Rattus norvegicus: one gene and its partner. The protein of the gene in region 1 interacts with the protein of each later gene in a pairwise test. Links are inferred from orthologs where the notes say so. Each region holds a gene or a part of one and is shown on either strand. Other genes may lie near its edges.

Region 1 (4,506 bases):
GACGAGGGCCAGTCTGTGTCAGTCAGAACTCGAGGTTCATGTATAGTCTTAGATCTCGCTCCCAGGCCCGGTCCTTCTCTTCTCGCCTTCTGTTCTCCCTCTGACTCAGCGTGCCGACTCGAGGAACTCTCTCTTTCCCAGACACAGCCCGGGTATCCCGAGCTGCAAAGTGTGTGACCCGGGGTTGGGTTGGGGATCTATAGCCCAGTCCTTCCTGGTCCCTCTTGAGGACAGTGGGAATAGGGTTGGCACGGCCTTCACCCCGGGGTCCTAGCCCCATTCCTGGTTCCCAGCCACCCCTCAGCAGCAGTCTGAAGCCAGGACTGGAAGTGGGTACCCCAAGGGGAAGGCTGGAGGGCTGGGGTCTCCTAGACAGTGACAGCAGGTGAGCAGTAGATGTGCGGTGGTTGGAGTCTTCAAAGTAGGCACCACAGTCCTCACAGAACTGGGAGGAGGAGGGGGGTGATCTGCAGAGAAAGAAATAAGTTATAGGGGAGGAAGTTGTTCAGGCACCAGGCAGAGCACCTTATGCCTTTCTCCTGATTTCAGCAGCACCTTTTTTGATTGTATCTTGTTTTGGGACCCCAGGGTCTTCCCAGTGTTAGGCAGGCGCTCTAACCAAGCTACGCCATCTCCTCTCCCTTTGTCCAGAAGGGACAACTTGGAATATGTTGGGTAGGTCTCAAGCTCTCAGGAGTAGCGAGTGGTGCTGATACTCAGAAAGTGCATACTAGCAGCAAGCACCGTCCACACTTTCCACACTGACCTGCTGCATCTAAACAGCCCTTTGAGAGAGAGTCTTATCCTCAGTTCAGACAAGGACTGAGATTCCCAGACTTTAGGCTGGCTCTGCAAATAAATGGAACCCAGATTCAAACGCACAAAGGCCACGTCTATTACCGCTCTAAGACTGAACTACTGGAAGATGAATGGCCCCTACTAGCTGCTGTGCGGCCCTTGGTAGGAGGTGTCCAGGAAAGAACACAATAAAGATGGGGCATGAGCAAAGGCTCCCTCCTCACCGGTTCTGGTTCTCGGGGCTCCTTGTCTCCCCACGACTCTCTCTGACCATGCGGGCTACCTCAGGGAAGCCTGCTTCTTCTGCCAGCTGAGCCGCGTCTCTGCCTCCCAGTTCACAGACTCCTACCCAGGCAGCCCCTCGGCCCAGGAGATAGCGCACGGCAGCGCCCTGGCCCGCTCGAGCAGCACACATCAAGGGAGTCCACCAGAAGGCGTCACGAGCATTGATATTCCCTCCAGCTCCCCCTGCCTCTTGGGGTTCCAGCAGCCTCCGGAGTTCTGTCAGATCCCCATTCTGGGCTGCCATCAGGATCCACTGGGTCACCCTGTCTTCATCCTCAAGTGCTCTTCCTTGTCTCGGGACCCCTGCTGCTACAGGCTCCCTTGCGGTAGTTCTTCTTCTCTTCCTCTTTCTCTCCCTGGTCGGTTCGGCTCTCCGGGGCTTAGGGGAACCACTCTCCTCTGCAATTAGAGCCTCATAGAAAGCCCGGGCTGCGGCCCCATCCAGGACAGGCTCTGGTTTCTCGAGCTGTGCTTGCTGTTGACCATCTTTCCAGAGGTCACTGGAGTCGGTGGCTGGAGTGAATGTGATGAGGGATGGCTTGGACATGGCTGTGGGAAAAGTGAGAAAATGAAGACCAGGCAAGGCAGGAGGATGTGCCAAGCAAGCCTACCTTTCAGGTAGCTCTTGTGAAGACCAGCACCACCTCCAGGGGCCCAGCAGCCTACAACTAAAATGGACCTTCCATCCCCACACTGACTTCATACCTAGGATTCTGTAGAGCCCAGGGCTCATGGATAAAATGTAACCCAGGAATAACTGATCCTGCCACAATGTTAATATAATTTCAGGAGGGCATGGTAGGTACCTATGTCTCTGGGTAGAATGCTCGCCCCGAATTTGAGAATTCTAGGTTCTATCTCTAACACAGAAAAGAAAAAGGATAACAGGAAAAATATTCCACAAGAATAGGGGTCTAGGGGTCCTGCGTTCAACTCCCATCTTCCTACAAAAATGCCAGGCTCTCTCTGAAATCATTTTTCCTGTCCTCTAACACATACCGTTTGAAAATATCAGTTCAGCCTTTTAAATCTTGCTCGATCTTATCTAGGGGGGGTCTCCTTTTCCCAGATAAAAAACAGGCGTGACATTATTCCGGAAGCTTTCGGGGAAAGACGCTGCACTGTCATTTCCGTACCGCAAAATGGCGCTCTCATAATCTCTAAGAGTTGATACAATCAGAGCTACAGGGAGCCATGACGCATGCGCACCAGCAACAACAACAAAACACCCACAAGGTTCAGTTTCCCGCGCTGGAACCTTTCCAAGCATCCGTGTAAAGCATCGCGTGCCCAGGAGCGCGAGGACCCAAGGGGGAACCTGTCGGTTGGGGTCCTGCTTTTACATAACGCCCCCACAATGCTCTTCGCCACCCTCGCCCTGGTCCCTCCAGCACCAAGCTCCTTTCCTGGAGCTGGGAGGCCACCCTCTGCGTTCAGAAAGACTCTGAGGACACAGAGGGGGAGACCTGTGGAATGCCGAGGAGCTGTGAGATGAAGTAACATCACGGCACCCCTCACCACTACTCTGAGCAGGGTTTGAAGAACAGTTAGGGTCCGCAGCAGGACGCTCCATCAAGCTCTGAGGAAATGGAGAAGTACAAAGGGACGAGCGGCAGAATGGCTGGCCCCACCTCAGGTTAGCGCGCAGGGCGGTCTAGATTCTCACGCCGTATGCACAGCTCAGCGCGTCCTAAGCACACCCGACCTAAGTCCCTCACCACACCTCTGCGCATGCCGGAGCCCGAGCGCGCTCTGTCGCGGGCCTGGCAGGAGAGCCAGGGTCCAGTGGGTTGGCCTGGCACGGGGAGGAGGGAGAAAAACTAAAGCGCAACGCCGAGAGAGCACCGTAGGGATGACAATCACCCCGGGCGCTAGCCCCGTAGTCTAGCCAGCCTCCTAAGACTATATTTCCCAGGCTTCCTGGTCGAGAAGACTCCGTGCTAGGCTTCCGCTTCCGGTGGCGCTCCGTTCGCCCCGCCCCCGGGCGGCTTCCTCTAGGGCCTCGCGGCCCTAGAGTCATGCGCGGGTCCTCCTGGGATTGGTAGTTTGCCTTCCCTTCATTTCGTCAGTTTCTCTCTCCTGACGGGACTACATCTCCCGGCGTCCACGGAGGTAGGGGGGCGGTCCTTAGCGCCTGCGCGTTGCTCTCTTCTCCCCCCCAACCCCTAAACCCTCACCAGTTTCCAGTCCCCCCCTCCCCACTTCGTCTGCCGCGGCCGGGTCGGCTTTTTGCGCTGTAGCGGTCTCTGCCGTTCCTTGGAAGCACAGCTCCCCTTCCCCGCCCCAGTCCCAGTCCCCGTCCGGCCGGTGAGTGTGGGGTTGTCTCCGCGCCCAGTCGCCGGTCCCTGGGCGCGGCACTCGGGTCGGTGCTCCTCGATGTGGGGGCGACGAAGGAAGTGACCGGGTCGGTAGCCGAAGGAGGTCGGGGGGCCTGGGGAGAGGAGGCGGCTTGTGGGGACGCTCGTGAGTCCCACGGAAGTGTGGTGCCCTCGCCAACCCTGCGAGGGCAGGAGAGGCCGATTCTGTTGGGTAAAATGAACTTCGGGAGCTTTGGGACAGGCGCCAGGAATATGCAGGCACCTGCGGTGGTGGGGAGCCCGAGCCGAGGGCCCTGTCGCGGCTGACATGGAGGGGAGAGGGGCCTGGCCGTGAGGAGCGCCAGGGACGGGGGTAACACTAACAGATCAGGACCTGTCATTTTCTGGAAAGTAGCGGAACTCGTTCTCAGCACACTGTAAGGGGGGGCCGAGCTAAAGGAGAGGAGCTTGGAGATGCTTCAGAGGCCGGGATCCTTTAAGCCCGGCTGGACTCGGATTCATCCGTCGTTGTGGAGAACGTGTGGGAGGAGGGAAGAGACCAGAAACAGCTTGGTCTCCACTTACTTAGGCTCTTCTTTCTCAGCGGACATAAAGATGAGTAGCTCTGAGGAGGTGTCCTGGATTTCCTGGTTCTGTGGGCTCCGTGGTAATGAATTCTTCTGTGAGGTGAGTTTAGGTCGGCCAACTCCACATGCCCTCGATGTTTGATTTTACGTCGTTTGAGAGCAGATTTCGATCGAGCTCACTATGCAGACTAGACTGGCCTTGAACTCCTGGCAATCCTACCGGCCGCCTCCTGAGTGCTAGTATTGTGAGGGTTTGTCAATATGCATGGCTAACAGAGGTGTCTCTGGTGACCATTAGGGCAGTTAAAACCTCTCATGTCAAAGTTGTGTAACGTGCAAAGCACGGTGTGCTAAGGTAGAAAATTATAAATACCTTTCAGAAACTAAACTACTTGACCTTCATGATTCCGAGGTCTTCAGCTCAGGAGTCTGCTGTCCCCAAGAAGAGGGCACATGCAATTTGTAAAATGAGGGACAGAAGCTGAATAATGTCTTTGTGTGCTGGATCTGGTTTGCCTTAAAGAAAAGAGCTGCAGTTT
Region 2 (3,362 bases), on another chromosome or scaffold:
TGGGGCTCCCAGACGGGTCTGAAGCCCCCTGAACCTAATGCTAGAGCCACAAGCCCTGGCCCTGAGGGCTCACACACTACTACACAGGTGGGCACACACGTGACACAAGACATTATGGAGGCGACACCAAGAAGCAGAGGGCACTGACATATTGACAGAAGAAGGAACCAAGGTTAAGCAGGTATAGCCAGAAAAGACAGTTCGGGGGCTACAGCGCCACCCCCTCCCCCCAAGAGTTCCTCAACCGTCCCCTAAATCTGGACTGCTGCTGAGCAGTCCCAAGTCTCTGCCTGTGACCAGAGCACTTGGTTCTCTAGGCCCAGGTGAGTGGCAAAGCAATCCCAGGTGAAGTCAGTGACATGACAGGCAGGTTCTGCTCTGCATGCTCAAGGCCAGAGCTCCAGCTGTCTTCAGGCACATTCATAGCCTGCTCCTCCCAGCCCTGGGGCCCTGGGAACCCACGTCCCCAGATTCCTGGGGCTGCAGTTCCCTCCTCAAGCTTCCTTTACCAGTCGGCAGCTGCAGAGATCTGTAAGGGGGAGAGCTTTCCACAGAGCACTGTACAGCTTGGATGTCAGCAAAAGGGTAAAATTTCCTGTTGCCAGAATAGAATACCCCAACTCCTTAATTTCTAGGTAAATAGAGATTATTTGCCAAAGTCCTAGATGACTCCTTTTTCAGAATAGAAAAGGCAGAATTTTATTTACATAATTCAATGGTCCTCCTGTTTCCTAGGAAGAGGCGGAGGGCAAGGTAAGGGAATGGATGGGAGTCCAGAGATGGGCACTTCCTTTCCTCACCTTTCTGTAGTTTGTTATGATGCCTGGTTGGTGGAATTCGCGATGCTTCCAAAGTCCTTCACCCTACAAATCCTTCTTTGAGGGAGTCTCTCTCCCTGACCTATAAGAACCACGTACGTTTTGGAGAGAAGAACTCTGCACCGCACTGTTCAGTCCCCTCGGGTTAAGCACTTGGAAACCCAAAGCCAGCCCGGGTAGTTGTTTCCCCGGTGGGGTCCCCCTCACAGAGAGGCCTCGCCCTCCAGCTGCAGAAGGGTAATGTCAGGCAGGTCGAGGGGCTCCACAAGTGGCCCATTCTCCCCAAGGAGACCCGGGCTCTCAGAGCGCTCGCAGTGACTGGTGGGTGTGGCGGGGCTAGCCGTCTCTTTCTCCTCCTCTTCCTCCTCGTCCTCTTCATCAGGATCTCGACCCAGCAAGCCGCTGTCCCCAATCCCAGGCGAAGGTGTTTCTGGCTCATGGGGAACACTGGGGAAGCTCCCCTTTCCGCCGGCCACGCCCAAGCCTCCCTGGCGGGGCGCAGTGGTCATAATCTGGCACATGGAGACTATGGCCCGCTGGTTGGCGCACACGTCGTCCGACAGAACCTGGATGTGCGAGGCCTGCTCGTCCAGTGCCCCTCGCATGGCCCTCACGTCCTCAAACAGGGCCTGCAGCTGGGCCTTCAGGTGCTCCATCAGTTCCTTCATACCGCCGTTATACTCCCCAGAGATCACGTCCCCCACGGCTGGCACCGTGGACACCTCCAGAGGAGCCGGCATGTCGCCGCCGTCCTTGGTCATGATCTCCAGCAGACTGTCCTCCATTGAGTGGCAGAAGCGGGCGATGGCAGCTCTGGGTCGTGTCCAGCCGGGCCTCCAGGGTGGGGGGAAGGGTGTGGAGGGGGAGAGGTCCCGGGAGGGACGGGGTGGAGCCCAGTGACACCTAGGCTCCCTAGAGGGGCGGGGAGCCGACGTGAAGAGAGCTGCACCAGGCAAAGGGCGCGGACAGGATCAAGGAGGGCTGAGAAGAGTCGACAGGACGAAGACCCGTCTAGGGTCCCGGGACGAGCGTCTTCAGGCTTTCCCAGGGGCAAAAGTGGCTTGCCCGCTCGCTTCCAGTGTGGTACCTATGTCCCTGCCGCCCTCCCGGTAATCATCAGCAAAGAGTGTCCCCCAGGTCACAGAGGCGCATGCAGAGGGGCTCGGGGTCCAGACGGGGACCCGCAGCGTGTCGGTCTCGGGACTCCCCTCGGCCATCCACCAGCAGTGCCCGCGAGTGCGGCTGGAGCGGCAGGGGCGGGTCTCCCGGCGGCGCCGCGGATGCTCCCCCGTTTCCAAGGCGACGCACGGCACGTAAATGACGTATGTCTCCATGGCAACGAGGAAGTGAAGAAGAAAAAGAACAGGGTTCCGAAGCTGCAGTGGAGCACTGTTGTATGGGCTGACGGGCGGGGCAGGGACGCTGCAGTAGCCTCAGAGAAGCTGCAAAGAGCATGTGGCTGCAATGTTTAATAGGACAGCATGAGAAAGCAGTTTGCTGCACGACCCCCACCCCCAAGCCGGAGAGGGACCGTCTGCTTTTGGGGAAGGGGTGGGCGGAGGGGTTCACCCGCTCTCCGCATTCCTTCCTCGGAGGACCGAGCGAGAGCCAGATCCTTCCGGGCCGCAGGACTGGGTAGCGATTGTTAATAATCCCAGGCGAGCTGGACGCACCAGGCCTGGCGGTGCAGAGGGAGGCGGAGGCACGACCGATCTGCCTCTCCCTTCTGCAGCATAACCAATTTTCCCTCCCTCCAGAAAGCTCAGGGTGAGATTCAGTCCCTTACGGGACCCAGCTGTTTCTATCCAGGTTGCTGAGAGTTTACGAGAATGATGAAGCTAAGTGAATTCTGAGAATGAAAACTCCATACCAACAGATTCCCCTCTTCTGCGCCCTCCATCACAGGATCCCCGGCGCTTAAAATAGCGTCCGAGACGCAGAAAGCGGATGCATAATGTATCTGTGGAATGGATACTTAAAAAAGAGCCACCAAGTACCATTCTCTTCTCCAGGATTCTCCAGAAATCTCCAGCCCACGCACAGTGGACTTCAAAAGACCTGAATACAATTTCGTTTCATTCCTTAGTGATTCGGAGACCTCAGCTGAATCATTTTCTTGATGGACCGAACTGTAGTGTTTCTAAATCTGAGTTAACACTGCACAGCCGCGCAATTGAGTGAATTATTAACGGCTGTAGGGTCAGTGCCCCTAGTACCCATGTTTAGATACCCACTAAACACCCCTGTCCTTTGTGAAAACCCCTTCCCTTACTCAGAGGGTAGAGGAGAGAAGGAGGAAGAAGAAAAATTGGTTATAATAGATTTAGAGATTACATAGACTGGGAATGTAGTCAACTTGTAGGCTATAACATGCTAATATCACTTTGATAAAAAGAAGCCAGAAGGCAAGTGATCAAAACTACTGAGTTTATAAGAATCTGGGAAGGAGAAACTTATTAACAGTGCCATCTAACTATAGAAAAAACTAAGGGTGGGTGAGGGTTATTGGTCACTAGTAGTTCAGTAACTGCAAGTGTGTTCTTG

The links.
Region 2: the proteins of Gpank1 (region 1) and Ccdc184 interact in binary tests that used the Homo sapiens proteins (3 or more experiments, as listed by UniProt). The two-hybrid records come from large-scale screens. The link is inferred for Rattus norvegicus from reciprocal best matches to the Homo sapiens genes GPANK1 and CCDC184.

The regions. Positions count from the first base shown.
Region 1 is NC_086038.1:3,702,452-3,706,957, forward strand, and holds the start of Gpank1 (G patch domain and ankyrin repeat-containing protein 1), read right to left. Parts: upstream 2,902-4,506; 5' UTR 2,817-2,901; coding exon of another isoform or gene 2,807-2,816; 5' UTR 2,720-2,806; coding exon of another isoform or gene 2,671-2,719; exon of another isoform or gene 2,354-2,670; coding exon of another isoform or gene 2,317-2,353; intron 1,633-2,316; coding exon of another isoform or gene 1,631-1,632; coding exon 1,023-1,630; intron 850-1,022; coding exon of another isoform or gene 807-849; exon of another isoform or gene 767-806; intron 468-766; coding exon 23-467; 3' UTR 1-22. Other genes in the region: Csnk2b (casein kinase II subunit beta), read left to right, coding at 2,671-2,719, 3,985-4,067.
Region 2 is NC_086025.1:131,177,448-131,180,809, reverse strand, and holds Ccdc184 (coiled-coil domain-containing protein 184), read right to left. Parts: upstream 2,079-3,362; 5' UTR 1,604-2,078; coding exon 1,022-1,603; 3' UTR 674-1,021; downstream 1-673.